Linked DNA regions of Sus scrofa. The protein of the gene in region 2 interacts with the protein of the main gene of each other region in a biochemical or structural test. Links are inferred from orthologs where the notes say so. Each region holds a gene or a part of one and is shown on either strand. Other genes may lie near its edges.

Region 1 (3,967 bases), about 130 Mb from region 2:
TCAGTATACAGTGATTAGAAACAATGAACACACAACTTCTTTAAAATGTGCAGCTACTGATTAATTTTCTCTGGCAGTGAAGAACTGCTCAATTCAAGTATTTCTTCCAAAAGATCATTTCTTTCTATTGTGAATATACCAGTGTAGTTTTTTAAAAAGAATGATAGTTCAAAGATAACTGCATCTTCAAGAGATCATGTAAGAACAATTCCTGAGAAAAGGGGATCTGAGGAAAACAGAAGCCATTCTCTAGTAAATTCAAACCCAACACTTTGAGTAAAGGGAAACCCAATACTACCTAAAATGTCCAGAAACTGTATTTATTCCTCATCACTTAATGCTGTGGCAGGAGCCTGAGTGCCACATGAATCTTCAATTTTTAAACAGATGTTATTACTTACTAAAAGTACGTTCTCTCTGACAAGTACCCACCCAATTAAAGAAAGGGAGGATAAAACCCCCAGCTACTCAGACGTTGGTAAGGGCAGGGATCCAGGAACGACAAGGTCAAACTTACTCCCTGGGAACAATTTAAAAAGGAGACTTTGGTTGGATCCAAGGGTCACCAGAAAGTAGGAAAAAACCAGAGAACTGAGGAAGAGCCCTATATAATAAGTGCTTCTCTGCTCTTCCATTTATTAAAAAACAAAACTGGAAGTGGTTTGTCACAACGTAAACATGGCAAGGAGGACCATGTGGAATAGTGATTACAATGGGGAAAGAACCCATAGCTCAGAATTACTGGAATTTGCCTTCAGAGGCGTGCAGATAATAAAGGAGGAAGTGGTTACACATGCTTCAAGGCTCATGCCGAGTGAGGATATATGCAACTCAAGTTGAGTACAAGTCACTCTAATTTTATGGAAAAACTAAGTTCAGGTGTAAAGTATCAAATAAAACTTTCATTCCATATACCAATACCAGCTGCTGAGTTCCACTTGTCTCTATAACTAGCCCCAGTAGATCAGGACGCAAAATAGCACAACACTGACCACCACTGAAAAGATACCGACAACAACAAACAGCTTTTAAAGTTGCGAGTTGAGTGTCTATAGGACCTGTAATTGGTCATTTCTGGGCTGTTTGGGAACAAACCTCAAAATCAAGTTCCCTTAGAAATCCTTGGCTTACCTCTTGTTTTTAAAAAGACCAAAGACAAAATGATACATGTTAAAAGGGCAGCAAAGTTCTATGGCATCTAATAACACCAAAGCAAAGCAATGCCAATAATCCATAAACCAGAAGGTAATTATTGCAGTAACAGCAACAGGTTCACTGGAGAAGAGTCTCCATTAAAAATAATAATAATAGTAATAAACACTGCACCTAGACAGACACAGAGCACAACATTTAACAGACTATCAATCTGATCCTTCAAAGGGATGTGACATTTATTATTAGTTTTCTAAGTTTTCTCTCTCTACCCAAAACAAAAACCCAACAACAAACTTCTAAGATTTCCACCAACCCAGGAGTAGCTTCCAGGTTTCAAACATAAATATGGAAGGGGGTGCTGATGTTTTAAAAGGGAACATTACAAAAACTATTTGCAAAAAGCAATCAGATAAAAAAGTCAACTCAAACCACATCACTGGCTCCAGACGGAGGGGACTCCCTACCTCTAGTCCTCATTCCGTGATCGTGGCTTTTTTTTTTTTTTTTTTTTAATTACGAGCCTGCATCAAACTCTAAAGAAAACGCCCCAGCCCAGGGAGCGGGGGAGGGTGGCTCCTGCAGACTCAGGTGACAAAAGGTGACCGCTAATCCCACCGACAATACCGTGAAATAAGCAGACCAGTCCTCCTGGCCAATTACCAAGCGCGAGTCAAAGTTCCACCACGTAATTCGGGCCTGGACCTTTATTCAAGCAAATACGTAACTGAAAGCAGAGTCATTTCCCTCTTTGTATTTTATTCATGCTGGAAATAACATTCAAACTGAAAAGGTAGCAAGACAAAAGGAAAACAAAAAACAAGAAAACCGAAGGCAGTGGAAGCGCGGGGCGTTCAAGTGGCGTTTTCCGTCCTCGGGAGCCTCCGGTCACCGGCCCGAACTCAAAATCCCCAGCGCGCTCGGGCCGGGGTCTCCGGGGGAATCGGCCCCCCGCCAGCGGCCCGCGACGCTGGGGTTCCCGCTCCGGCGGGCGGCGGGCGGCGGGGGCGACGCTCTCCGGCGGCGGCCGGACGCGCGGGGCGGCGGGGAGTGGACGCCGCTCTGGACGGAGTCGGGCCCCCGGGGGTCGGGCGGCGCTGGCGAGCCGGCGCGGGGGCTGCGGGAACTTCGCCTCCCTCCCGCCCGCCGCGGCCCCCGCTCAGGAGCAAACTTTGCAGACAGCGCGGCTCGCGTCCGGGGGACCCTCCCGCGCGTCCAGCCGACCCGGAGCGCCCCAGCCCCGGCCGCCCGTCCGTCCCGCGCCACTCAGGCCCCTCAGGGACTGTTGGCTGGGCCCCGGCGCGCCCCCTCGGCCTCCCCGGCGGCCGCCGCCGCCCGCGCCCCCCGCGCCGACCCTGCCCGCGCCGCGGCGGGGCCGAGCGGCCGGCCGGGCCTGTGCCGCGCGCCCCTCACCTTGGTGGCCATGGCGGGCGGCTCCCCCGACCCGGGACGGCCGGCTCCTCTCCCGCGTCGCGGCTGGCGGCCCGAGGCGGCCCGGCGAGAGCGAAGGCGACGGCGGCTACGGCTGGGCCCCGGCGCGGCGGCGGCGGCGGCGGCGGCTCCGCCTCGGCCCCGAGTCTCGGCGCAGGGCGACTCCTGCCGCCGCCCGTTCCTCCAGTTCCTGAAACTCCCCGGCTGCGCGGCCCCCGCCCCCGCCGGCCGAGCCTCCCATTTACCGCGGCGTGCGCGGCGCGGCCGGCGGAAGCGCGCCCGGTGCCCTCGGCCGGCCCGGCCTCCTCGCCCGCTTTCCGCCCCCGCCCGGAGCCTCCGCCCCGGGCCCCGCCGCCGCCGCCGCAGGGCGCCCTTTGTTCCAGTGCTCGGGGCCGCGTCCCGAGTGGCGGCCGGGGCCCGGGGTCACCGCCCGTGGGGACCGAAGAGGGGAGTGGGGACACGCTCGGGGGCAGCGCCTGCCGGGGGAGCCGAGTCCCAACCGCCCCCCCCGCCCCCCGGCGGCCACCGCGGCTGAACTTTCTGGGCGAGATGCACCGGGTGCGGCCGGTGCTCTGCGTCCCCCGGCGGGGCACGAGTCCCCCGCGGGCTCTTTGTCCCCCGTCGGGACTGCGGCGGGCCCGTCGTGCTCCGGGCAGAGTGCAGTGAGTGTGCAGTAAACAGCCAGCACGGCGCCGAGCAATGGCTTCCCGGCCCTTCAAGGAGGATCTGCCTCCAGCCTGGAGTTTACCGCGGGCTGTAATCTCGGCTGGAGCTTCTGGGCCCCGACGCTTGAGAATTTCGTTCCGAGGCATCCCCTTAACCTCCTTCTGGCCTCTTGATAAATGTAGAAGCTTCTCAGGGCCTCAGAGGTTTGGGGGAGACCCCACAGGTTTCCTGAAAGGGAAAAAATGGGAGTCTAAGAATTTCCATTTTCCTGTCAAAAGCTTTTTCTTCAGGGTTGGATGCAGGGCTGCATTAACGAATGAATGACTTAGGCAGCAGGATTTTCCCTCTAGTGTAAAAGAGAGGACTGGAAAACATACCTTGATGGAGAGAGTAGCGTTGTCCTTCTTGATTTTTATCAGGAATATATATATCCTGGTCCTTCAGAGAACCAGGAATGCCTAAGAAATCCTCATCTGCGGGGTTGAAGCTCAATTTAGGCTGGGAAAGTGATATTTAGAGTCAGAGTCAAATTGTGTCCTCTCAAAAATATTCTGTTTGACTTCCAGAGATTTCACTGGTTACATTCAACGGAAGGGTTTAAAACGGATATGGTACTACAGCTTTCTGTGAATTTTTGTGTTTGCTGAGCTCATGGCTATAGCCATACTCATAATATTCATAAATAGTTGACTTTCTAGGTGAAAGTAAAGTTACAAAC
Region 2 (4,183 bases):
GTGCAGATACCAAAGAGCCTGAAGAAACTTGCACAAGTGAAGCATGTTAGAAATGCTCTTATCATCCAGCCTTTTATTTTTTTTTTATTTTTTTCCTTTTTACAGCTGCACCACACCCACAGCATATGGAAGTTCCCAGGCCAGGGGTCGAATCAGAGCTAGAGCTGTGGCACAGGCAACCCTGGATTAGAGCCGCCTCAGTGACCTAGGATGAAGCCTGCAACAACACCAGATCTTTAACCCACTGTGTGAGGCTAGGGATCAAACCCATATCTCTCAGGGACACATCAGGTCCTTAACCTATTGAGCCACACGGGAACTCCCACCCAGGTCTTTTTTTTTTTTTTTTTTTTTTTTTTTGTCTTTTTGTCTTTTTGCTATTTCTTGGGCCGCTCCCGCGGCATATGGAGGTTCCCAGGCTAGGGGTCCAATCGGAGCTGTGGTCTCCGGCCTATGCCGGAGCCACAGCAACGCGAGATCTGAGCCGCATCTGCAACCTACACCACAGGTCACGGCAACGCTGAATCGTTAACCCACTGAGCAAGGGCAGGGACCGAACCCGCAACCTTATGGTTCCTAGTCGGATTCGTTAACCACTGCGCCACGACGGGAACTCCCAGGTCTTTTTTTGAATCAAAAGCCTGGTTGAGATGGTTGGCCCATGGTCCGAGACATCCCTTTGGCACAACTAGCCTCCTTGACCACTACTGGCTTGCCTACAAAATGTGTTTAATAGATTTGTAGACATCAAAATATTACGGTGCTACAAACCGTAGAAATGTGTAGTTCTCAGGCCCAGATGAGAACAGAAGCCCTTTGTGAGCCTAAAGCCACAAACAAGTTCATACTGTCTTTCCACCACTGTCTCTCTACCTGTATGCATTTGGAACCCTCTGGAGCAGCTCTGGGAGTGAAGATGCAACAGTGAGCAGGGACTCTGGAAAGGTCTCTGACACCTGGAGTCTCCAATGGAGACTTTCAGGTAAATTAAAGGAGTAATTCAAAAGATAGAGTAGGAACACACAGCCATTGGCAACTGCAAGGACATACACAGAGAGATGTGAGAGTGAGGCTGGGTTTAGAGGGGGTGGCTGGGTGGGGAGGCAATGGCCAGGTGATCTGAGACGGCAGAAGCCAGATCAGCTGCAGGGATGCGGACGGGAGGAGGTCTTCTGGATTTCGTGACAAGCATAAGGAGATGTTATTGAAGGGTTACAAGCAGAAGACTGACACTCTCGAATTTACCTTAAAAAAAAAAAAATCACCATGGCTGCCAAATGGAGACTGGGCGTATGGGAAGCACTGCAATTGCACAGGTAAGAGATGCTGGTGGCTTGGACTAGAGTGGGCCATAAAAAGGAAGGGGATGGACCCCACACACCTTTGAGACCCAACAGGACTTGCTAACCATTGAATTCAAGGAATGAGGAGTTGGGACAAGGGACGACTCCTAGGTTTTTGATCTGAGCAACTGTGCCTACTACCTTTAGTATGAGGCCACCCCCTGAGATGTGGAGGCTTGGGGCAGGGCCCCCAAAACCTTCTGCAGGACAAATTAGGTGTGAGGTTTGTATGTTTCTAACTTTTTTATTCTTCCGGGGCATAAACAAAGATAATGAAGCCAAACGACCAAAGGAGGGGAATGTTAACATTTTTCCAAATCCTGCATATTCTAGTTGTCCCCTTAAGGCCCAGGGGAATTTGGACACAATAAGTGACAAAGTCTGAAAATGGTGTGTTTGGTGAGAGGCTCACCAAAAACAAACTACAGGCTCCCGTATCTCTCCTTCTCAGACCCCTGCAGGGGGATGTGCTCCTGAGAGAAAAGCTTCTTGACCTCAAACAAAGAGGGGCTGGTCGAGCCCAGCACAGAAGTCGCCCAATTATTCGTTATCATATCCCTCCGACCCCCAGCCTTCCTCGGCAGCCTTCCTCGGCTGCCTTCCTCGGCTCCCTTCCTCATTCCACCACATCCGCGCTCATCTCCTGCGCCTCTGCCGGGAGGTCGCCGCAGAGACCGCCAAGGTGGTGGCGGGGTTTTATCCGCACCGCCGGAGATCCGACCCTCAGGCCAGAAGAGGGCCTCAGCCTGAGGGTGGGATGAAGATGCGCCGGCCGTCGCGCACCAGGCCGTCGGGGCAGGGAGCTGCTGCTTCCCCACACCCCCGCGCTCACACTCAGCTTACACTCTCGCTCACAAGCACATTCACTCTCAGGCTCACACAACGCACACGCGCTCTCACGGCCACTCCGACTTGAAGGAAGCGAGTTTTTCCAAAGGCGGAGGGAGAAGTACTCCTTGCTCGAGTCTGCTCTCCCTGCCCGGGCCCCGTCCCGGGGGGTCTCGGGTTCCCCGCCTGGGCCTCGTGCCCCGTGAGCGCGGCGGCAGGCGGCGGGGCCATGAGCCCTGGGGTCGCCCTGCGCCCGGGGCCTGGCGGCGGGTCCCCTGGCGGGGCGCGGGCCCGGCGGCGCTTACCTGAGGCGGCCGGCGCCTTGGACTCTGCGCTGAGCGCGGGCGGGGAGGAAGACGGCGGATCCGGGCCGGGCCGCCCCTCTGCCCTCCGCCCCTGCGCCTCTGGCCGCTCGCGGGGCCGGGCCAGACACACACTTCCTCAATCCTGAGGAGGGCGGGCGGCAGGCGGCGCGAAGGGTGCGTAGCGAGGGTCGGAGCGGCGGCGTTGCCAAGGAACTGGTTCGGGGAGCACCCCCACCACCACCTCCCCGACCTCCCGCCTCAGTTTCCCTGCTGCAAATCCCAGGCGATCGCGCTCATTGCTCCTGGCCCGGAGGCCCCCCGGCCCTTCCCGCTTTGGGACATCCTGCTTTCCACGCGGGGCGGGCGCGGCGCTGAGAGTGGTCGTTCTCTGCTCAACCCAGCTTCCCCTGCCCCTCTGATCCGCTCCGCTGCAAAATCCGCTGATGAACCTCTGACTCATATATGTAGATCGTATACTCTGGCAGTAAATATGGAAAAGACGGGAATATTCATTTGTGTAAAACTATAGAGCAGACTAGAAATGTGTAACTTTAAAGCTTTAATAGTTTTCAAACTGCACCCCTTCTACCACATGAATTTACTAATGTAATTATGGATGTATACAAATATGTCACTGTTTGGTGAATCATTTTAAATTGCCTGGGGTTATTTTTGAGGGGGGAGGTGGTAGATAAACATTGGGGCATATAGGCAGTTTATTATGTTTCAAGCTACCTTAACTATGTTCCCACCAGTGAGGCCATTGTACAAACGCAGAGCATAAAGATGTATGTCCATGCTTGCAGACAGGCATGGATTTGGCTCCATGTGCCCACCGGGTAAAGAGAAGCCGGTTTGGAAAAAAGCAGATGATTCTTCACCCTGGCAGGACCTGCCTCCTAGGCTCCTCTCACGTAGTGTTACGACTAGAACATTCCCAGGATTTACCCCAAGGCACAAAGACAAATTGCCACCACCCTTACTTCCATTTCACAAAAGCCAGGCAGCTGCAGGGCCATCACGTCACCTCGCGGAAACCCAGGACTGTGGCCCCTCGGACAAGCTCCTTGGGCCCCTCTTTGGCGAGGGGACCGCCGGGCAGCTTTGCTTTACTCCCAAGAGGTTGTCCCTCTAATTCTCCTGGACTGGACGCCCTTTCAAAAGGGTGGGTGCAGTTTTGCAATCCTACCCTCATCACCGCGGTTCTAATTCCAGTATGCAAAAGGCGTTAATATGATTGCTACCGAAAAGTCCCTAATAATTTGCAAGGCGTGGCGTCCACGGTGTTGAGTGAGCCCGCGAATCTCCACAAAGCGCCCCAAGGGCGCGCGGCCCTGCCATCTAGCGGCACCGTGAGGAAGTGCATGCCCAGTGCTTGAGCAGACAACTAGTGGACGTGGCCAATGGGGGGGGGGCAGCAATTCAATTTCCCTTTTAAGTAAGCCTGGGAACCGTCTTGGAAATGTCTCCACTGTAGAAAACCGTTGGGATAGTCTACACACAGGGGGCTTGTTTCAAGCTGATTATATACCAGCATTTAACTCCATCCGTTAGGCGTGTGTTAGTTACAGGTTTACAGGGGGCCATTGCTAGGTCAGTTAAGATTTCCACTGCTTTTTTTTTTTGGCCTTGCCTGGGGAATGGGAAAGTTCCAGTGCCAGGGTTGGAATCTGTGGCACAGCAGTGACCAGAGCCATAGCAGTGACA
Region 3 (3,500 bases), on a different chromosome or scaffold from region 2:
ATCCCAACCTCGCGGGCTGCAGATTCTGGAGTCCAGACACATAAGGAGGCACAATTACAGGGTCCCTCCTGGTGAAGTAGCCCGTGAGGCTCCCTCCTCACCTGGACAAGTTTAACCCCCGGCCAGGTGGCATGTCCACCTCCAGCCCAGCCTCTTACACTCCAGCTTCAAACACATCGAGATGCCCGGGGACCCAGCCCCGTGCCATCTGACCCCGCTGCCTCCACAGCGGCCCTCCTGTGTTGCACCTGTGACGGTGAAAGGAGGCAGTGCCGGCCGCTGAAGGCCCGCGGGCGGCCGGCTCACCTGTTCTCAGGCCTGCGGTAGTCCAGCCGGCAGGTCCCGCTGGTGAGGCTGAACAGGGGGTGGAAGGCACACTCCATGCTGTGCAGCGCACGCTCTGCAGGGACACGGGTGGAGGGGGGGGCGTCAGTGACCACGCGGGGCGGCACACCCACCCTTCTCGCTCACAACCAGGAAGGCTTCAGAAGGGAGGGGGCCAGGAAACCAGGATTTGGAAAGCGACAGGCAGGGCCGTGCCCTGGGGCTCACGGCTGCCTCTGCAGGTCCTCCAACCAGATGGGCACACACTTCCTGGAAACCCACAAGCACCCACAAGGCCGAGGGTGGAAGCGGCCACACCCAGGGCATCAGCCATCACAAAAGGGGCAGGCGCTGACACACTGGCCCCGCAGCAGTGCCTGAGGACACTGCGGAAGGGACTGCAACTGCAGAGGGACGGTTCCAGGCTTCCATCACAGGAAAGTCCAGAACACAGAGCAGACGTGCCTGTCAGGGACTGGGGGAGGGGAGGGGACAGCTGCTCCGTCAGGGTTCCTCTTGGCAGAGCTGGAAATGACCCAGAACCCACGGGGATGAGGCCGTGCCACTCTGCAGACACCAGACGCCATGAACGGCACACGCGCAAAGGGCGAGTCTCACCGCACGCGAGCGCTACCTCAGTAGGGCTCTTGTTCAGCAGACCCCTGGCGAGTGTCCCCCCGCCCGCTGCGCCTGGGCTGCCCACGGGTCTCACCTACAAGGTCCCGGGCCATCTCCTGGTCCTCCTGAAAGCGGCAGGCATCGCTGAGCTGCAGGAGCGAATCCACGTGATAGGGGCTCGTCTGCAGCAGAACCTACGAGGCAGAGCAAGACACAAGCTGCGGGCCGCGCCCCCGGGGCCGCCACGCCGCCTCCCCACCCCCTCCCCCACCCCGGGGTGTGCGTGCCCCTCCCCCACCCCGGGGGCGCTCGGCCCTCCCCACCCCCACCCCGGGGTGCGTGCGCACCACAATGTTGTTGGGCTCCATGGACTCCACCGCGGCCAGGAACTTGTGCTGCGTTTGCTGGTACTCCTCGTTGTGCTCGAAGGCAAAGCAGGAGCGGCCCTTCTTGGACTCCAGCAGCCGCATGGACAGACCTGGGGGGGCCCCGGGTCAGGGCGCCACCAGCGACACCCAGTCCCCTGTCCATACTCTCCCTGTAATCGTCCCCCGCTCCCACCACCCCCGAGCGGGGTCCGAGCACCCACGTCCCAGGCACAGCCCACCTCCCGCCACCCCATCTGGGGGAGCCCAACCACTGGCTGCTTAGAGCAGAAACCCAGGTGGCCTAGCAGGAGGCGGCCACGGCCAACCCTCGACTAGGCGCCCGTCCTGTCCACTCCTGCTGCTGACTCTGGGTGGGACGCCCGTGAAACAGACCAGGGCTCCAGGACGCCCTCACCACACGCTCTCAAAGGCCCCACCGAGGGCAGCCCTGCAGGGCCCCAGGGCAGCCAGTCCCGCTGCCGGGAACGGGGGGTGAATGACCAGGGGGACAAGCAGCCACCCAAGCACAGGGCCCAGGGTCCTCCACGCTACCCCGCAGGGCCTTCCCCCACACCCCAACCTTTCGCAGGGCTCTTTTCCTTAAGTGGCTCCTTAAATGATGCGTGCTCACTGGTTTGCAACAAAATCTAAAATGCCACTGTAAAACCCTTGACTGCTTGCTATAGCACGGGATGCAGTCCAAAGGGCAAAGTAGAAAAGAGCTGATTAAAACAAGCCCGAGGAAACGCACGGTGGGCGAGGGCCTGTGCCCAGACACGGGCTCCGCCGGAGCTGCTGCCGGGCTGGGGCTCTGCGCGGAGGCCGGCCCCACGCCCTCACCTGGTTTGCTGTAGCGCGGCCACGTGCTCTTGGGGGTGGTCAGCCACGAAGACTTGGGGTACACGCGCTGCCTCTGCCGCGGCCTGGGGAGAACGGTGACGGTTACCTCTGCGGCTGGACCTCCGCAGGGAAGACGGTGGAAGCTACACTCCCACGAGCAAGACAGAGACAGAGGCAAAGAGCGGGAGCTGGCCGCCGAGACGCAGGCCGAGGCTGCAGACCGAGACGCCAGCAACCCGACAGCTTCAGGAAGAGGAAATGGGACCCAGAGCCCAGCGAAGTGGCAGAAAAGGTAAAAAACCAAAAAAACCAACTTCCCCCAAAACCCAAACCAAACCCCCACGAAGGTCAGACCCGTAACTGGAGACGTGGAGGCTGAGAGCTCGCTGCAGAGCAGAGGGGCCTCCTCCACGGCCCTCTCGGGGGCCCACTAACACCGCCAGCCGCTTGGCAAAGGGGGCCCGTGAGAGTGACGAGACAGGGGCCTCGGTACCCCGAGACCGACACACTTCCGCAAGCAAGCCGGCCAGACAGAGTGCACTGGGCAGGGGCCCGAGCGCACTCATCCGGGGTCCCCTAACCTGTGGTCACACACTGTCGTCTGCGCTGCCGCTTGCTGCTTTACTTCTCAAGCTGAGCAGCAGCCAAGTGGACCTGCATGTACTGCTCTGTAGGCTTTTTTTTTTGTAATCTGAACTATTTCACGAAGAACAATGAGTAAGAATCTAGATTTTGTTAGGAATGGGATTAGAAAACATGTGTTTTTCTTCCAACAAGAACGCTGGAAACTGCAGGAGAAAAAAAAGGCTCAAGAAAAGCATGGCCAAAATTGGAAGGAAAGCAGCCTGCAGCTGACCTGGGATAACTGGTGTGAGAAGGAGAACAGGCTGCTCGGAACGGCCCTCGCCCACGGGGTCCCAGGGAAGGTTCGGCCCTGCAGCGAGCTGGGTGGTGGGCGCCCGCGAGAGCAGACACCGGCGGGACACCAGAAACAGACAGAGGGAAGGGTGAACCAGGCGGCAGGGACAGTCCAGAGGGGAGATCTCAAGACGACCACCAGACGTATCACAAAGAGACACAGCGTCTCCGTGTCTTAGGAGCAGGGCAAGGGGACAAGGAAGCCCGTGGGGAGGACATAAGTTTTGTTTCTGTCTTTTTGCCATTTCTTGGGCCGCTCCCGCAGCATATGGAGGTTCCCAGGCTGGGGGTCTAATCAGAGCCACAGCCGCTGGCCTACGCCAGAGCCACAGCAACACGGGATCCGAGCTGTGTCTGCAACCTATGCCACAGCTCACAGCAACACCGGATCCTTAACCCACTGAGCAAGGCCAGGGATCGAACCTGCAACCT
Region 4 (4,068 bases), on a different chromosome or scaffold from region 2:
TTCCTCCCTTCTCTACAGGCTGCAGCCAGCCTCAGGGCCTCTGGTCCAGGTGCCCGCAGGACACCCTGACGTGCCAAGTGTAGAGCTGCCAATGGTAGCAAAAGATGTCAGGTGACAGGACAGCACAGGCTGGAAGGCCACCAGAACTGCACAGAGAGCAAACACGTGTGCCCTTAACCTGGCAGAGGGAAGGACACTCCCAGGCAGTTCCAGGGGCCGCTAAGGACGGGGGGGGGCTTTACCGACAAGGGAATCCATCCGAAGGCCCACAGCTGAGCGCCTGCTGACAGAGCTATAACGCCCCTGGACATTCCTGCCTCTTTGGCATCGCTCGGCAGCAAAGGCCCACGAGCATGGGATAAGATGAGGCCTCCCCTAAGCAAAACTCAGTGCTATTGCACACACACAGGTCCAACTCCTTTGGGTGTCCTGACGCAAGGAGGAGGCGCACACTCACGGCGTAGCCATTGACAGCAGCTATGACCGGCTTCCTGACCCGGGAGAGGTGGTCCCAGTGGCTCAAGAACCCACCGGAGTAGCAGTCCTGGAAGGTCTGGTTCTGCATTTCCTTGATGTCGGCTCCAGCTGGGGCAGAAATGAGGTCCCGGTTACCAGAGCAGAGGCCCCACACCAACAGGTGGCTATGGAGCGTCCCCTGCAGGTTTAGGCCCTGGGGGCTGCAGGCAATGGCCACGTGGACCACAGCTGGGCGGCGGTGGAGCACCACACCACCACACGAGGGGATGCAGAGGGGTGTGGATGGGAAACAGCGCAGGGAGAAGGCGGGGCTCCCTCAACAGTCGCGCGCACACGAGACCTGATGCCTCTGAACACACAGAGCGCCACGCATCAGAGTAGCCTCTCCAGGCAGCTCCGGGTTCCGTCCCGTGCTATGCAACTTTCCTGATGCGTTCACAGATCTCTAGGTCCGCTACCACGCCACGGTGTGATCGTGCACCTGGCTGGCCTGTCACCACGCTGCCCACCTCACCTGCAAAGGCCTTCTCCCCGCCTGTGAGGACGATGGCGCCCACGGCTGGGTCCTCCTCGAAGGCCTGCAGTGCCTGGTTGAGCTCCAAGATCAGGCCCTTGCAGAGGGCGTTGAGTGCTTTGGGGCGGTTCAGCTGGATCAGCCCCACATTGCTGCTCTTCCCCTTCTTTGCGACGACGATGTGCTCAAAGTGTGCGCCTGGGGACGGGGACCACAAGGGATTGCCACTCACAGGGGCAGCAGACTGGGGGATGCACCCACGAGTGCGCAGAGTGGCCCGACAGGACCCCGGAGGGCCCCTGCTCAGCTCGCAGCTGCGCAGGCGGCTTCTGTAGTGCTCTCTGCTTCCAGAGATGTTGGAACATTGCCTTCAGTTAAAAAGTAACAGCAATGAACAGCAGCCTTCCCTCTCCTGAACGCCTGGGTCAGCACCTCCCCGAACCTGCGCTAGACAAGACAGCCTGCGATTCTGCAAATCTGGGATAAGGAAACTCCTTCTTTCTTTCTTTCTTTCGGTCTATTTTTTTGCCTTTTCTAGGGCCGCACCCGTGGCATATGGAGATTCCGAGGCTAGGGGTCTAATGGGAGCTGTAGCCACCGGCCTACACCACAGCCACAGCAACGCGGGATCCTTAACCCACTGAGCGAGGCCAGGGATCAAACCCGCAACCTCATGGTTCCTAGTTGGATTCGTTCACCACTGTGCCAGGATGGGAACTCCAGGAAACTCCTTTCAACAAAGGTCCACTAGGTGCGGGGAATGAAGCTGCACACTGCACGCTTCCAGCCTTGCGGGGAGGCCCCCCTGGGTGGGGGGAATCGGGGGGGGAGGCACACACAGGCAAAGGCAACTGCGGAGGCCCACAGGGGCTGCTCGCCCAGACAAGAAGGTTAACCAAGGTGGTTTGCTTTCTTGAACAGCGAAAGAGGGAGGCAGTACCCATCCCACTGGCTTGTTGGGGAATAACTGAAATCGGACATGTAAAGGCAGCACGACTGTCACATACAAGCCCGGGAAACAACTGCTAATCACAGGCTAGGATGCAGCAGCAGGTGGCCAAAGAGAACTTAAAACCAACACTTGTTAGTTAGGTTGTCAGCGGACCAAAAGTGAAGGAAGAGGCGGCGGGAATTCTTCCCCAGCTCAGCGACGTGGGCAAGAGTTGCCGCGGGGAACTGGGCAGAGGTGCTCGGCAGAGAGGAGGAGGGGCGCGCGGCGGGGGGGGAGGGGCCGAATCCGAAGGCCAGAGCCCAGGAGAAAGCCTGGACCTGGGGAGGCCCGGGCAGGAGGCACAGCGGGACAGCACGAGCTTCCCCTTCCTACTCCAGAGGCGCTAAGCGCACCTTCTCTTAAAGTCTGAGGAATTTCACAACCAACAGCCAAACGCTGAAATGGTCAGAGGTCTGAGCTCTCGGTCCCTGGTCTCTGGAGTTGAGGCGCTAGTGACCCCAGGGCTCCGCCAGCTCGGGCAGCAGGTGCCGGGAGGGGTTGCGAGGCTGGCCGGGTCCCCTGCAGGGGCGGGGTCCCGCCTAGCGGCGCGCCCAGGCTGAGGCCCGGGGGTCCCGGGCGCTGCCGAGGGACCCCCGCCGCGGGTCCGCCCCCGCCCCCGCCCCCGCCCCCGCCCCCGCACTCACTCGAGGCCAAGGAGCGCAGCGCGGGGCAGCCGGGCCAGGCGCGCAGCGGGGCGCGGACGCGTGGCAGCAAGGCGCGCAGGGTCGCCATGGCGCTCCCGGGACGAGGGGCCCCACTGCCGGAAGCCAGCCCAGCGGAGCCACCGCCCAGCGGAGCCGCCCCCCGGCTGCGCCAGTCAGGGCCCGCCCCGCCCACTGCGGGCATCGCGCGACCAGGCGGCGGAAGGGGCGGGGCCGCGGTCGGGGGCGGAAGGAGGCGGGGAGCGCTCAGGTTCCGGCGGGGCGGGAGGAGGGGCAAGGGGTGGGGACGGGGCGGGGCGGGAGGAGGGGCAAGGGGTGGGGCCGGGGCCGAGCGGCGGCCGCAGGGGGGGCGGCTCCGGCGCCGGTCGGTGCCCGCGTCCCTGTCCCCCGGTCCGCGCCGCCTTTAGCGGACCCCGCTCGGTGGCGTCCTTCCAGCAGCCCGAAGACCTGAGAGCAGACCCGCCAGGGCCGGCCGAGCCGTGGGGGTGGGGTCGGAAGCACGCGTGGGCTGCGCGCCGCGTGCGCGAACCTGGAGGGCCGCCCGCGCACACCGGCCCAGGACACACCGGGCGGTGAAATCAGGCCTCCGGGCGACGTTCAGGTGTAATTCGGGGCGGAAAGCCAGAGCAACCCGGAGAGGCCTCTGAGCCGTGCGGTCCTTGAGTTAGGGGATTCTCGTTTGTGTTTTAAAGGGGAGGACAAAGATGCAGTTAATCATCGTTTTGAGCCGTTTCTGTCGGGCTGTCTCTGGTTTTCGGTCTCAGGCCACGTGGTCCATGGCTTGGCGGGCTGGTCGCTCGGCCTGCCCTGGAGAAGCAACCTGAGCTTGTGTGTTGATGTCTGCAGAGGCAGTGATGGTTTGCTGAGGATGTCACCCGCAACCGCGACTTTAGTTGTCTGACTTTGATTGCTATTCAGTTGGCGCAGGACTGAGGTCGGGAGACAAGAAAGAGAAGAAAGTTTTGGGTAGAGAGATTCGTCAGAAGCTCAGTAGGGAAACTAGGTTTTAGGGGGCCTTGGTTTCAATAGTTTTCAATATTGAAAATGTGTATCAGACCCTGAGTCCTTGTGTTTGGAAGGAAAAGCCTTTTAGCCTCCCAGCCTCCCCTCAGTCTCAAAAGTTAATGATTAGAGTTAATGATTAGGAAATTTTGTTATAGCTAAAAAAAACAAAGCAGTCTCCATCATGTCATGCTCTGCCTTGGCCACCAGCTGGACTTTGTTTCCTTTCTCCTTAGAGTTCTAGGCACCTAGTGTCCAGCTTCCCCAAATGACCTCTTCCTTGCTAGTCGCGTGCTTTTACTCTTGGTTACCACATAGGCAGAGTTAGGGTGCACCTAGTGTTTGCGTTTGTACATGGAACACTTGCTAATACACCTTCCCTGTAAGCAGTCTTCATTCAAGAGAAAAGGTTCAGGCATAAT
Region 5 (4,083 bases), on a different chromosome or scaffold from region 2:
AGTGGTATGTCTGGGCTGATTGCATGTGGTCACACTTCATAGCCATTCTGCTGTGTTACCTCCTCTGGGTCACTGTATAACAGGAAAACAGAAAATATCCAAGTCAGCCTGGGTCCATTTACTAAGGGAGGCTCTGCTGGGGAAATGTGTAAAGTCATGACTTGACTTCCCAGGGTTACTAAGGTGTCCCTTTGTAAAGCCTGCATAAGTAAGCAGACACCACCAAGTCTGAAGAGTTCTGGATTCCCCCTTTTGGGGAAATAAAGGACCTTCCAGCTTTATATTCCATGATTCTAAAAAGATGCATCCCTCTGTGAACATGTGTACAAAAGTGTATTTATGCCACTCTGGATGGCAAATGTTTTCTGTTCACCTTTAAATCCATCATAAAAGTGAGAATGTTCTGTTATTGAAAATATGAAAAAAGCAAAATAGCCCTTTATAGAAAAAACAAAAGGAGAAGCCAGGATAGTGCCACTCTATAAAAATTAATAAGCTCAGTATAATATCTTAGTCAAAGAAAGGCACTGCTTCTGAGACAGATGCCTGTAAATCTTATCAAAGCAGGCTTGCTTTGAAATTTCCCCAGCCTCAGGAAATTGTATTAAGCACAGGAAGAAGTAGCATTGAGGGGACTAGATTCCTGGCATGAGTTTCTGGTTCAAGCAGCTAGAACTAGCAATATGTACACTTTAAAAAATTATCTCAGCCGAACCATTCTTTGCAGACAGATAAGGGAGTTTTGAGAATAATCTTGTTGCTTGGGGATTTGAGAGATCCAGTTTACCATGGATATTATCAGTCTAAGGACAGTATAAGGATGACCAGATTTTCTTCTTCTCTAAAATGTTTCACCAGATATTTTCACTAGTTTTCTTGGTTTGAGTTCAAAAGTGAGCAAATTTTAGATGCTGACCGAATTAATTCTTACTACTATTCCTTATTTGAGAAGTGCATTTGGTGTGACTTTTTCCTCAAAACTTCTTCCAGTAGATACTTGTTTGTGACTGTTCTTTATTTTTGACAATGCCTCTGATTATGAGCAAGCTGGCTTAGACAAACTTGCTTCTTTTTCTTTTTAAAGAGGCAGAATAAACATACAATGGCAATTTTTGAATCAGCCTTTTCTGTACTCTGGTTTAAACTTGGTTGTTACATGTGACTGACATTATTCTCATATGAAAATATCATTTATCCATTTTAATAAAGATGTATCTTTATGAAAAACAATTTGCTAAAAAAAAACCCAACATTTTGCTGTGTGGTAATAATTGATTAAATGAACAATCATCAGAGGATTTTTATTTATGACAGGCTCGGGCACTTATTTTCTGAGGTTTGTTACCTCTTATAAAACAGCTGGTCCTGGCTACATCAAAGAGGTGCTATGACTTGGGTTTGGGCCGTCAAGATATTTGAAGATGTTCCAACTTCCTTTCAGCTGAGATAGAAAAGCTTAGCACTCTAAAAGCAGAACCACAGTTACATAAAATGTGTTTTCAATTTTTGTTCACTCTATTGCCCCTTACTATTATAGGGAAATGGTGTTATCACTTGATTACTTGAGAAAGCACACAAAAATCTCACCTTCCAAATCTGAGTCAGTCCTTGACTAGGATGAACAAAGCCAGGCCATCTGCTCTGAATATCATTACTACTTTGGCCATTTGGGCAAGAGATCTATCTTCTCTGTTTCAAAGAGAGATATAAGATTGGAAAATTGAAATTAAATAAGTAGACAGGAAGAGACATTTGGACAAATAACACTTTCCAATGGAAGCCCCATTTGTTAGGTTTTATCACCACCATCATTTTAATTTCCATTCCGGCCACCGAATTAACCTTTGGGGCTTCCATTTTACAAAACATTTCAGTCAAAAACTTAATTCCAGAGTTTCTGCAATAAATGCCTAGGAAGGAAAACGGCATGTGGGTGAATATGAGTCATCAGTCCCCCCCACCCCCTGCTTCCTGGTGATTCTCCATTGGAAAACCAGAAAGGCAGATTGAGTTTAGAGATCTATTTTACCGGAATAATACTATACCCCAGGCCATGTTAATTTCCTAAACTAAACAGTCTCTAATCTGCTGAAAGGCATCTGGCTAACTGCTGGTGTCTGGCAAGTGCCCCATCTGTCCCCTACCCGGGGTCTCTCTTCTGTCTTCACTTTCCCTTTCTCTCAAGCAGGCGTCTCTCTTTGTTTTCAGGGGTGTAGTCCACCTGAACTTTCCTTCCTGTGCCTGAAAACTTGGGCTCTTTTCCTCTATCCTGCGGACCTCTGGCTTTGTCTAAGTGACAAGACACAGTTGTGTTGACTGTAGTTACGGCGCTGGTGATGGTGGAGAGCATGACGGTGATGGTGGAGATGGGGGTGCCGATGGTTTAAGGAGCGCAGGCTGAGCGGGCGCTGGGAAGAGGATGGACCACGGAGACCGTGGAGAGTAGGGTGCGAGAGAGGTGGAGTGCGGAGGGATTGCGGATGGGAGCTGTCCACGCACCGAAGTGCTGAAACGCCGCAGCCATGGCATCGCAAGAGCGGGGAAAGGTGGGGAGGCGCTGAGAATACAGAAGGGAGAAAAAAGGCAACAAATACCTTCACACGGCCGCCCAGCCTTGCTTTGGGAATGTGTGTCTGCAGGTGTCCTCGATGCTGAGCTGAGTGGGTGAGATCCCCTATTCTGGCAGGTTCAGGCTCAGATTTCTCTAGAAAGCTGTGAATGAGAGAGCCCCGGCTCCTAGGGGCTGTGATTTTGGTAGGAGGCGTGTGCGCCCGAGACTCTGTCCTTCTATACGGAGCCTGGCTTTCCCCTGGGTCCTAAAGGCCTCCTCACCAATGCTCTCCCCCGGTTCCGTCAAGACAATACGAAGAATTATTGTAATTTTGTAACATCTGGGACCAAAAAGTACTGGAACCATTCTCCCCACCCCACCCCCCAACTCACACACAACCTTAAAAACAGAATCCTTTAAACAGATTAATGCAAGCTCTGAAATAGACTCGTGTGTGCGTGTGTGTGTGAGTGCGTGTGTGAATTTAACAGATGAGAAAGTAACACAAACCTATGGAGAAAGAATGGATTATTTTATTAACAAAGGGTGGTAAGAAAACGAATGATTTGGAAAAGTCTCCAGTAAAAGCCCCATAGTACCAAAATTAATCCTACATAGATTAAAGAGCTAAATTAAAAAGTAAAATTAAAAAAAACTAGAAGAAGGTAATAAATAGATTTACTGACTTCAGAATAGGGAAGGTTTTCAAAGCACAAGAGGAATAGAAGCAATCCTAAAGAAAAAAGGCCAATAAACCTGAGTGCAAAAAATACTTTTGAATGTAAAAATATCATAAAAACATAAATACAAATAACAACTCAGAAAAATTTCAACAAATATGTATTTCATATATTAAAATATCACATATAGCAAAAGAAAAACACTATCAGCCTAAGAGAAAAAAGGATGACAAGCACACAACAAAGAATTCACAAAATAAAGGTAAATGCTTTATAAACATATATTTTAAAAACTAATTTCTCCTGTAAACATAGACATGTAATTTAAAATAGGGCTGGAGTTCCCCTCGTGGCTCAGCGGTTAACGAATGCAACTAGGAACCATGAGGTTGCAGGTTCGATCCCTGGCCTTGCTCAGTGGGTTAAGGATCCAGCCTTGCCAGTGAGCTGTGGCGTAGGTCGCAGACGTGGCTTGGATCCCGAGTTGCTGTGGCTGTGGTGTGGGCTGGCGGCTACAGCTCCGATTAGACCCTTAGCCTGGGAACCTCTATATGCCACGGGAGCAGCCCTAGAAAAGGCAAAAAAAGACAAAAAAAAGGGGGGGGGCAATTTTGGAGTTCCTGTTGTGGCTCAGCGGAAATGAATGCAACTAGGAACCAAGAGGATGCAGGTTTGAGCCCTGGCCTCACTCAGTGGGTTAAGGATCTGGCGTTGCCGTGAGCTGTGGTGTAGGTTGAAGACATGGTTCAGATCCGGCATTGTAAGTCGGCAGTAGCAGCTCCAATTAAATCCCTAGCCTGGGAATCTCCATGTGCCACAGATGTGACCCTCAAAAGACAAAAAGATCAAAAA
Region 6 (3,500 bases), on a different chromosome or scaffold from region 2:
AGCTGAATTTTTTTGAACTTTTAATAAAACACTTTTTACTTTTGAAATCTTTCATTTTCAGCAATATCAAATACTCATTAATGTTAGTGATGGGTGCTTACCGAGCTTAACACTTACCTACAACTTTTGAGTAGCAAGGTTCGCAATGTATTGTCTGTCTATAAATCCAAATACTGTCACCTGCTTGTAGGTTTTCCAAAGATTGTTTGCAGATTTCACACTAAATAAAAGGTATATATAAAGTTTACATTATATATGAAGTTTAGATTCTTGGTGTAACAGTATTAAAAAAAAAAACAACCTTTTAATTCATTTGGTACCATCCTCCATAGAAACACTTAAATGAAGCCTCAAGAAAAACCCAGAGGAAAAGTAGAAGTATACTTGTCTTTAATCCATACACTAAAGTTTTTCCCTCACTCACAATAGAATGGATAGACATTTTCAAAAATTGCTTATGCTGGAGTTTCTGCTGTGGCTCAGTGGGAACAGTAGTATCCATGAGGATGCAGGTTCGTTCCTTGGTCTTGCTCAGTGGGTCCAGGATCCAGTGTTGCTGTGAGCTGTGTTGTAGGTCACAGGCACGGCTTGGATCTGGCATTGCTTTGGCTGTGGCTGGCAGCTGTAGCTCGAATTTGACCCCTAGCCTGGGAATTTCCATATGCCATGGGTGTGGCCCTAAAAAGCAAAAAAAAAAAAAAAAAAAAAAAAAAAAAGGTTATGCCAAAGACAAGATCACCACTGGATATCACAAACAAAAATACAAAGAATACTTGTCATTTGCTTACTAAGGGAGAGCTATGCTGTCCAAGAATAGGGTCCCTGAGCAAAACAGGCTTCTGATCCTACATAAGGTTTAGAGGGAAGTTTGTTTCAAGTTGTGTTGGTGAAGAAGGCAGGAAAGGGTTGACATCTGCCTTAGACTTGCGCTCACTGGAGCAAGTTCATTGCCAATTGGCTGACTTTCAAGTTTACTGATGCAAATTGTCATAGATCCGTTAGACATACTTAAGCCAGTTCAGATGGTTCTCTATTATTATGACTATAGAATAAGCTGTCTTTTCCTACGAGTGTGGGGACATTTTTGTTCTCAGTTAGTAGCATTTTATAATTAAATTGAAAATGGAAATAAACCATCTAAAATATAATAAATGGAAATTATTCCTATTTACCAACAGCAAGAGAATTTTCAGGGGAATTTTTTTCTTTTAAAAAGTTTAGTGCATAAGAATGTAACATAAAGAGATATAGACTAATTTTTGTTTCCGTGAGTAAATTTTAATAACTAAAAGGAAATTTCACTGTCTCATAATTCAATAATTATGACATTTTCATATACTTTTTTATAGAATTCTATACATGATGGCCTAAAACTGGATTATTCTTTTACTCAAAGTAAGGCATCTTTCCAATTGCTTTGTGTCACTGTCTGTTACCAATTAAAAGAGAAGCAATCAATTGTCAAAGTATTACTTCAACTTGACTGAATTAGATAATTTGCATCAACTGGAGAATACCAGCACTAGAAAGGCCCCATGGGTTTATGTCTTTTTTTTTTTTTTTTTAAGAGCTGCACCCACAGCATATGGAACTTCTCAGGCTAGGGGTGGAATTGGAGCTACAGTCGCCAGCTACACCACAGCCACAGCAACACCAGATCCTTTACCCACTGAGAAAGGCTAGGGATTGAACCTGTGTCCTTGCGGATATTAGTCAGGTTCGTTACTGCTGAGCCATGACGGGAACTCCTCCGAAGGGTTTAGGCTGTCGTTCTCAAACTGGCCGTCAGACCTATCTAAGGAGCTTGCAAAGACACCAGTGCTCAGGAATCATCTCTAAGATCCTGGATTTAATTGGGGTTGGTCCCCGGCATTCTATTTTTCCTTCTAATCTCAGATGATTATAATGTGCATCCAGGGTTGAAAACCACTGGTTTATTCAGCTACTTGATTTCACAGATGAGGAAACCAAGACTAAGCTAATTTAGGGGATGGTCCAAAGTGACAAGACCACAATTAATTTTAACCACAATCAGTTAGAACTCCAAGTCAGGTCTTCAGGTTCCCGGCTAAGTATTCATTTAGTTACATAAAAAAGTGTAATGTTGACCAATCCAATGTTTTTGTGAGAAGTAAAAGACATGGCAATATGAAGATACACACTATAAAGCATTCTACTATATATGCTTTATTATTATTATACGAAGCCATGTTTAACTATAATTCACCATGCTCTCAAAAGCAAAATGAGTTTCAACTATTGTTAAGCCCATCGGTCCTAATTTCATGATATAAGGAGCTGCTAGCTTTCCTCTCAACAATTTATTTTCCTTTTTGGATTTCATTCCACATTTCAGGTACTGCATGATTTATGAAAGTGCTGCAAAAACTTTTCTAAAGAGGAACAAGTGTTTATTGTTTTACAGATTGAAATCTGTAGGGTCAGAGTTATAAATGTGTCAGTAATCAACTCTAAGCCTAAAGCTTAATTATAAACCTTGGAGGTTTAGGCTGCGGAACGCTCGAGAAATGTTTAAATAGTGCATTATTAATGTGCATGGGAGTGTTCTGAAAGCTTTAACTTCATCTCATGTACTTCACTACATAATTTTTTTAATTCCAGTCATTATGCAATTTCTTATCAAATTAAATGTAATAAACATATCCTTACCTTGAAGCAAGTGGAATGGCAGCAAATTTGTAATTCATCTAAAATCATCTTAGTTTCTGTGCCCAAGGGCTTTCGACAGTAAGTACACATATCTCTTTCAATGACAGACCTATACAGATGTAAGCAATTAAAATTAAATTTGTCACCATGCCAAAGACATATGTATTTCCCATAAAGTCATAGGGAAATGATATGTTAATTTTGTTGACACTTTAGTAAATTGTGTAAAAATCAAGGAAAGTTCAGGACTCACTTATTCTAGTGATAGAATTAATTCTTCTAGTTATCTCAAAATGATATCAAAGAATTAACATGAGGGAAAATTGCAAATTATTAATTCATTGGCAATCAAGAGTGCATCTGGGCAGGGTAAAGACGGTTATAGTTTTCCTAATTGAAACAGGTCATTAAGTACCCCTTGAAGCTAGAAGAGAGTTTTGAATTATTAATGTACATATAGCATAGAAAAATTATACTGCAGATTAATACAAAAATTTAACTCCCAAAATATTCAGTAGGACAAAAATAGAAATTGATTCAAGGGTGTGTTGGCAAATTCACATATGATGGATACCCTAGACTCTAGAACCTAGAGTCACCAAAATGCTCCCTTATGCCACCTCTCTTGGTGTCATTGTAAGACTCAGAATCTTGGAGTTCCTGTCATGGTGCAGTGGAAACTAATCTGACTAGGAACCGTGAGGTTGAGGGTTTGATCCCAGGTCTCGCTCAGTGGGTTGAGGATCCAGCGTTGCTGTGAGCTGTGGTTTAGGTCACAGACACCGCTTGGATGTGGCATTGCTGTGGCTGTGGCATAGGATGGCAGCTGC
Region 7 (4,114 bases), on a different chromosome or scaffold from region 2:
AAGTGGAGGTTCCTCTTTTTCTTTTGTCTCCTTCCTTTTAAATGGCAAAGTCATTTGACATAATGCTTTTAGTTTCCTTCTTGCTTCCCTAGTTGCTGCTCCTCTCTAAAGAGTGTACTTTCAGTCTAAAAGCGACATTGTCCCATTGGTGCTCTCCTCCAGACAACTGCCACCTCTATGCTAGGAGACACCCAAAAACAGCCCGGACTTTTTCCCAAGCCTCCGATGTGTTCCATTTACCAGACAAACGCAGCGGCTGGAAGAGCCATGTGACTCGGTATCACTTGTTGACCCTGGCCCCCTGGCTAAGTAATGGCACTGCTGGGCATGTTTTCTCACCCCAAAGGGATAATTAATAGGAACGCTTCTAAAAGGATGTTGTAAGCAGTAAAGCATTGTATGAACTGAGCTTCTTTACTATAGTGATAACACGTGCTAGCCTGTCCAGAAAGAGACTTTTTTTTTTTTTTGTCTTTTTGCCATTTCTTGGGCCGCTCCCACGGCATATGGAGGTTCCCAGGCTAGGGGTCCAATCGGAGCTGTAGCCACCGGCCTACGCCAGAGCCACAGCAACACGGGATCCGAGCCGCGTCTGCAACCCACACCACAGCTCAGGGCAATGCCGGATCCTTAACCCACTGAGCAAGGGCAGGGACCGAACCCGCAACCTTATGGTTCCTAGTCGGATTCGTTAACCACTGCGCCACGACGGGAACTCCCGGAAAGAGACTTTTAATAGCTTGAAATTCTAGGAGGGTTAAGATGCTACCGGGGGCGGTGGCTCCATTTCTCCGTTTGGAGGTGAACACGCCAGACAAGAACCTACCGAAAGCGGCCGGCTGCCAAACGCGCCAAGGGGGTCAGGCAAGTGGCAGCGTCTTACCTGGGGGGGGGGGAAGCTCTAGGTGATGGGTCACACACGGGATTCTGGATCCAGTGCTGCCAGAAATGATTTTTCCACAGAAGCGTCAAAACTGAGCTTTTAAAATGATGCTTTTCGGTCTTTTATAGGCAACCAACTCAATAAATAGACGGACGCCGCGGGCCCCCCGGCGCTCGGCTTACACAGACCGGCTCTGCGCGGCCGGGCACCGGGAGCCCCTGGACACCAGCCTCCGCGGAAACCGCCGCGTGCAAACGGTTGGGCGCCGGGCTCCCTCCTCGAGCTCGGCGCCAGAAGCCCGTTACCCGGCCCACCCTCGCGTCCACGCCCAGCTCCGCGCACTCGCAGCCGCCCGGCGCGGCGGAAGTGACGCCCGGCGCTCTTCCGGCCAGCGACGCGCCCCCGCGCCTGCGTGGAGGCGTCGGGCGGAAGCGGTGCGGTCGCGGCCGGCGGTTGCCGAGTGGACCCGGACGCGGCTGTACGCTGAGCCCTCGGTCCGGCGCCCGCCGCGGGCCGCAGCCATGTCGCTGCTGCAGTCTGCGCTCGACTTCCTGGCGGGCCCGGGCTCCCTGGGGGGTGCTGCCGGCCGCGACCAGACTGACTTCGTGGGGCAGACGGTGGAAATGGGCGAGCTGCGGCTGCGAGTGCGGCGGGTCCTGGCGGAGGGTGAGGCGGGGGCCGGGGGCGCGCGGCCCGGGGCGCGGGGCAGGACCAGGCGGGCAGGGGGAGGGTCACGGCTGGCCGGAAGGCGACTGCCGAGGGGGAGGCCCGTGTGGGGTCGGGCACTTCCGTGTCGGAGGCTGGGGTCAGGCTGGGGCAAGGTGGTCGTGGCGGCAGGTGTAGGCTCACCTGAGGCTGGAGGAGAGGCTGTGTCGCTGGGAAGGAGTGGTGGGCCGGCGGGGGTTGGCGCGCGGGGCCTTAGCGGAAAGGAGGCAGGGGGACCCGCAAGACTAAAGGCTGGAGTCCCGAGGCACGCGCTGGGGCCGGGGGGTGGGTTATAAGTCGTCGAGGGCCGCGGTGGGACAGTGGACGTGGGGCTGGTCCTCTCAGGTTTCGGGACCTTAGGCGAGGGTGTTGGGACAGACAGCGCCGCGTCCTGTAGCCGGGGTTCCCCCTCTTACCATAGGAGCGTCTTCTGCCCCGGTCCTCTCTGGGCCCGAGCTGACCCGGCAGTTGGGATCCGTACAGAACCTCGCCGCGGGGCTGGTCAGTCTGTGGTCGGCTGTGTTGCTGCACGCTGTTTCTTGCTTCCTGCACCCCGCCTCCCTTCCTCACACAGAATTTCCCACCAGTGTTGGCGCGGTCCTGTTTCCTTGTCTGCGTTTTTCTGTTTTGTCCAGTGGGGATCACGCGGGCGTGTGAGCTTCCCCTAGCCGTGGCACGGTTGGCTTTGGGGCTGTGTTCCTTGCTTTAGCCTGCGTGAGGGAGTGGCTGCATGGACAGCTGCACATGGCTGTGGTTTCCCTCGGAGCTGTAGCTTCAGCCAGTCACTGCGGACATTCCTGCTGCCATTTGTGCTCAATTTCAGGTGGAACAATGGCTGGCTGTTTCCAAAGGCCTGAGGCGTGTTCTGCCCTTAGCATCCTCACACACATTGGCTCCACTGTCAGGAAGAGAGGAATTTGGAGGGTGATTTGGTGAGAAGATCTCAGGCTCTTCTTCAGAGCTAGTGACGTTCTGAAGTGTGGTATTCTTTCATATCTGGGGTAGAACGAGAGTTGCCCCCAGATCAAATCATTTATTCTGAAAATGCCAGGGAAGTATTTTGATTCTTTAAGAAATTCAGAGTGGAGAGTACGTGATTTCTGCCTTGTGGAACTTTAAATAAGACACATTTTCTGATGAACAAAGGACAGTGCAATGCAGGGGATTCCTCTGGTGGGATAGACGGTGGGCCCAGCTGAGATGGGAGGGGTGAGAATGCACCTCCTGCCAGGGGCAGGGCCAGTGCAGAAGGGGAGGGATGGGAAGTGGGTCACACAGAGAAGGAAGCTCGTGCCTGTGGCATAACACCCAGGATGAAGAACAAGGAAATGGAAGCAGCCACTGTGGTTGTGCAAAGCACCTGCTCCCCTTGTTGTCTAGACACACCAGGAGGTGCAAGGTGCCAGTGAGATTAGGAGCTGTAGATTTCCTCCCCTTGAACTGAACCGGCGGCTTGGCTTCAGTTTCTAAAGCTCGCGAAGCTCCTTTCTGAGCTGGAATGCTAAGAAACCTGTTGTTCCCATCAAGTAGCAACCGTAGAACCTAGACTGGGGGAATTCAGGCTGTCTTGTATAAATATGTGGAAAATCCCAAACCCAAAACCCTTGGGTACCTGTATTGACAATTTCAGAATTCTTCAGGTTCTAGGAAGAGCCTGTGTATTCTCTCTGAGCTGGCACGCCGCCAGGGCAGTTGGGAAAGTGTTGCATAACCAAGTGCATTCGTGTATCTGGAGTTAAGGGAGTGAGTCCTCACGGTGGGATAATTAAGTCTTCAGCTAGCCTCACATCAGTTCGTGTTAGGTGTTGCCCAAAATGACTTTATAATAGATCAAGTTTTGCTCTCAAATGATTTAGGGGAGGGAGTGCCCATTGTTGTTCAGCGGAAATGAATCTGACTAGCATCCATAAGGACACAGGTTCAATCCCTGGCCTCACTCAGTGGGTTAAGGATCCGGTGTTGCTGTGAGCTGTGGTGTCCTTCGCAGCTGCGGCTTGGATCTGGCCTTGCTGTGGCTGTGGTAGGTCGGCAGCTGCAGCTCCTATTCAACCTCTAGCTGGGAACCTCCATATGCTGCAGGTGCAGCCCCCAAAAAAACAAAAAAAAAATTAAGAAAAGATTTAGGGAAAAAACATTGGTTTTCATAGCTTTGACATGTGCACTTGTAGCCTGAAATGGGTTGTTGGGCAGAACTGTGGAGCCAGGTGATCTTTGCAAAATGTACTGTTAATTTTCACTTTAATTTAATTTTGTTTTGTTTTTTCAGGGCTGCACCCATGGCATATGGAAGTTCCCAGGCTAGGGGTCCAATCAGAACTGTAGCTGCCGGCCTGCACCACAGCTACGGCCTCAGCAATGCCAGATCCGGGCTGTGTCTGCCACCTACACCACAGCTCACAGCAACGCCGGATCCTTAACCCACTGAGCAAAGCCAGGGATCGAACCTGCATCCTCATGGATCATAGTTGGGTTTGTTAACCACTGAGCCATGAAGGGAACTCCTTCACTTTAATTTTAAAGCTAGTT

What was found.
Region 1: the proteins of LRRK1 (region 2) and SNX9 form a complex in vitro, tested with the Homo sapiens proteins (2 studies listed by BioGRID and IntAct, with this or other methods). The link is inferred for Sus scrofa from reciprocal best matches to the Homo sapiens genes LRRK1 and SNX9.
Region 3: the proteins of LRRK1 (region 2) and TCF25 form a complex in vitro, tested with the Homo sapiens proteins (2 studies listed by BioGRID and IntAct, with this or other methods). The link is inferred for Sus scrofa from reciprocal best matches to the Homo sapiens genes LRRK1 and TCF25.
Region 4: the proteins of LRRK1 (region 2) and ECHS1 form a complex in vitro, tested with the Homo sapiens proteins (2 studies listed by BioGRID and IntAct, with this or other methods). The link is inferred for Sus scrofa from reciprocal best matches to the Homo sapiens genes LRRK1 and ECHS1.
Region 5: the proteins of LRRK1 (region 2) and CLVS1 form a complex in vitro, tested with the Homo sapiens proteins (2 studies listed by BioGRID and IntAct, with this or other methods). The link is inferred for Sus scrofa from reciprocal best matches to the Homo sapiens genes LRRK1 and CLVS1.
Region 6: the proteins of LRRK1 (region 2) and SCEL form a complex in vitro, tested with the Homo sapiens proteins (2 studies listed by BioGRID and IntAct, with this or other methods). The link is inferred for Sus scrofa from reciprocal best matches to the Homo sapiens genes LRRK1 and SCEL.
Region 7: the proteins of LRRK1 (region 2) and GAK form a complex in vitro, tested with the Homo sapiens proteins (2 studies listed by BioGRID and IntAct, with this or other methods). The link is inferred for Sus scrofa from reciprocal best matches to the Homo sapiens genes LRRK1 and GAK.

What each region holds. Positions count from the first base shown.
Region 1 is NC_010443.5:9,236,175-9,240,141, forward strand, and holds the start of SNX9 (sorting nexin-9), read right to left. Parts: upstream 2,801-3,967; 5' UTR 2,578-2,800; coding exon of another isoform or gene 2,566-2,577; intron 1-2,565. UniProt on the Homo sapiens protein: Involved in endocytosis and intracellular vesicle trafficking, both during interphase and at the end of mitosis. Required for efficient progress through mitosis and cytokinesis. Required for normal formation of the cleavage furrow at the end of mitosis.
Region 2 is NC_010443.5:139,492,743-139,496,925, reverse strand, and holds the start of LRRK1 (leucine-rich repeat serine/threonine-protein kinase 1), read right to left. Parts: upstream 2,801-4,183; 5' UTR 2,477-2,800; intron 1-2,476.
Region 3 is NC_010448.4:191,840-195,339, forward strand, and holds part of TCF25 (transcription factor 25), read right to left. Parts: intron 2,234-3,500; coding exon 2,151-2,233; intron 1,421-2,150; coding exon 1,290-1,420; intron 1,137-1,289; coding exon 1,037-1,136; intron 401-1,036; coding exon 307-400; intron 1-306. UniProt on the Homo sapiens protein: Component of the ribosome quality control complex (RQC), a ribosome-associated complex that mediates ubiquitination and extraction of incompletely synthesized nascent chains for proteasomal degradation.
Region 4 is NC_010456.5:141,346,071-141,350,138, forward strand, and holds the start of ECHS1 (enoyl-CoA hydratase, mitochondrial), read right to left. Parts: upstream 2,801-4,068; 5' UTR 2,715-2,800; coding exon 2,627-2,714; intron 1,190-2,626; coding exon 992-1,189; intron 586-991; coding exon 458-585; intron 1-457. UniProt on the Homo sapiens protein: Converts unsaturated trans-2-enoyl-CoA species ((2E)-enoyl-CoA) to the corresponding (3S)-3hydroxyacyl-CoA species through addition of a water molecule to the double bond.
Region 5 is NC_010446.5:72,254,460-72,258,542, forward strand, and holds the start of CLVS1 (clavesin-1), read right to left. Parts: upstream 2,801-4,083; 5' UTR 2,595-2,800; intron 1,690-2,594; 5' UTR 1,588-1,689; intron 1-1,587.
Region 6 is NC_010453.5:49,770,091-49,773,590, reverse strand, and holds part of SCEL (sciellin), read right to left. Parts: intron 2,780-3,500; coding exon 2,671-2,779; intron 221-2,670; coding exon 118-220; intron 1-117. UniProt on the Homo sapiens protein: May function in the assembly or regulation of proteins in the cornified envelope. The LIM domain may be involved in homotypic or heterotypic associations and may function to localize sciellin to the cornified envelope.
Region 7 is NC_010450.4:294,145-298,258, reverse strand, and holds the start of GAK (cyclin-G-associated kinase), read left to right. Parts: upstream 1-1,314; 5' UTR 1,315-1,404; coding exon of another isoform or gene 1,405-1,549; intron 1,550-2,004; exon of another isoform or gene 2,005-2,566; intron 2,567-4,114. UniProt on the Homo sapiens protein: Associates with cyclin G and CDK5. Seems to act as an auxilin homolog that is involved in the uncoating of clathrin-coated vesicles by Hsc70 in non-neuronal cells. Expression oscillates slightly during the cell cycle, peaking at G1.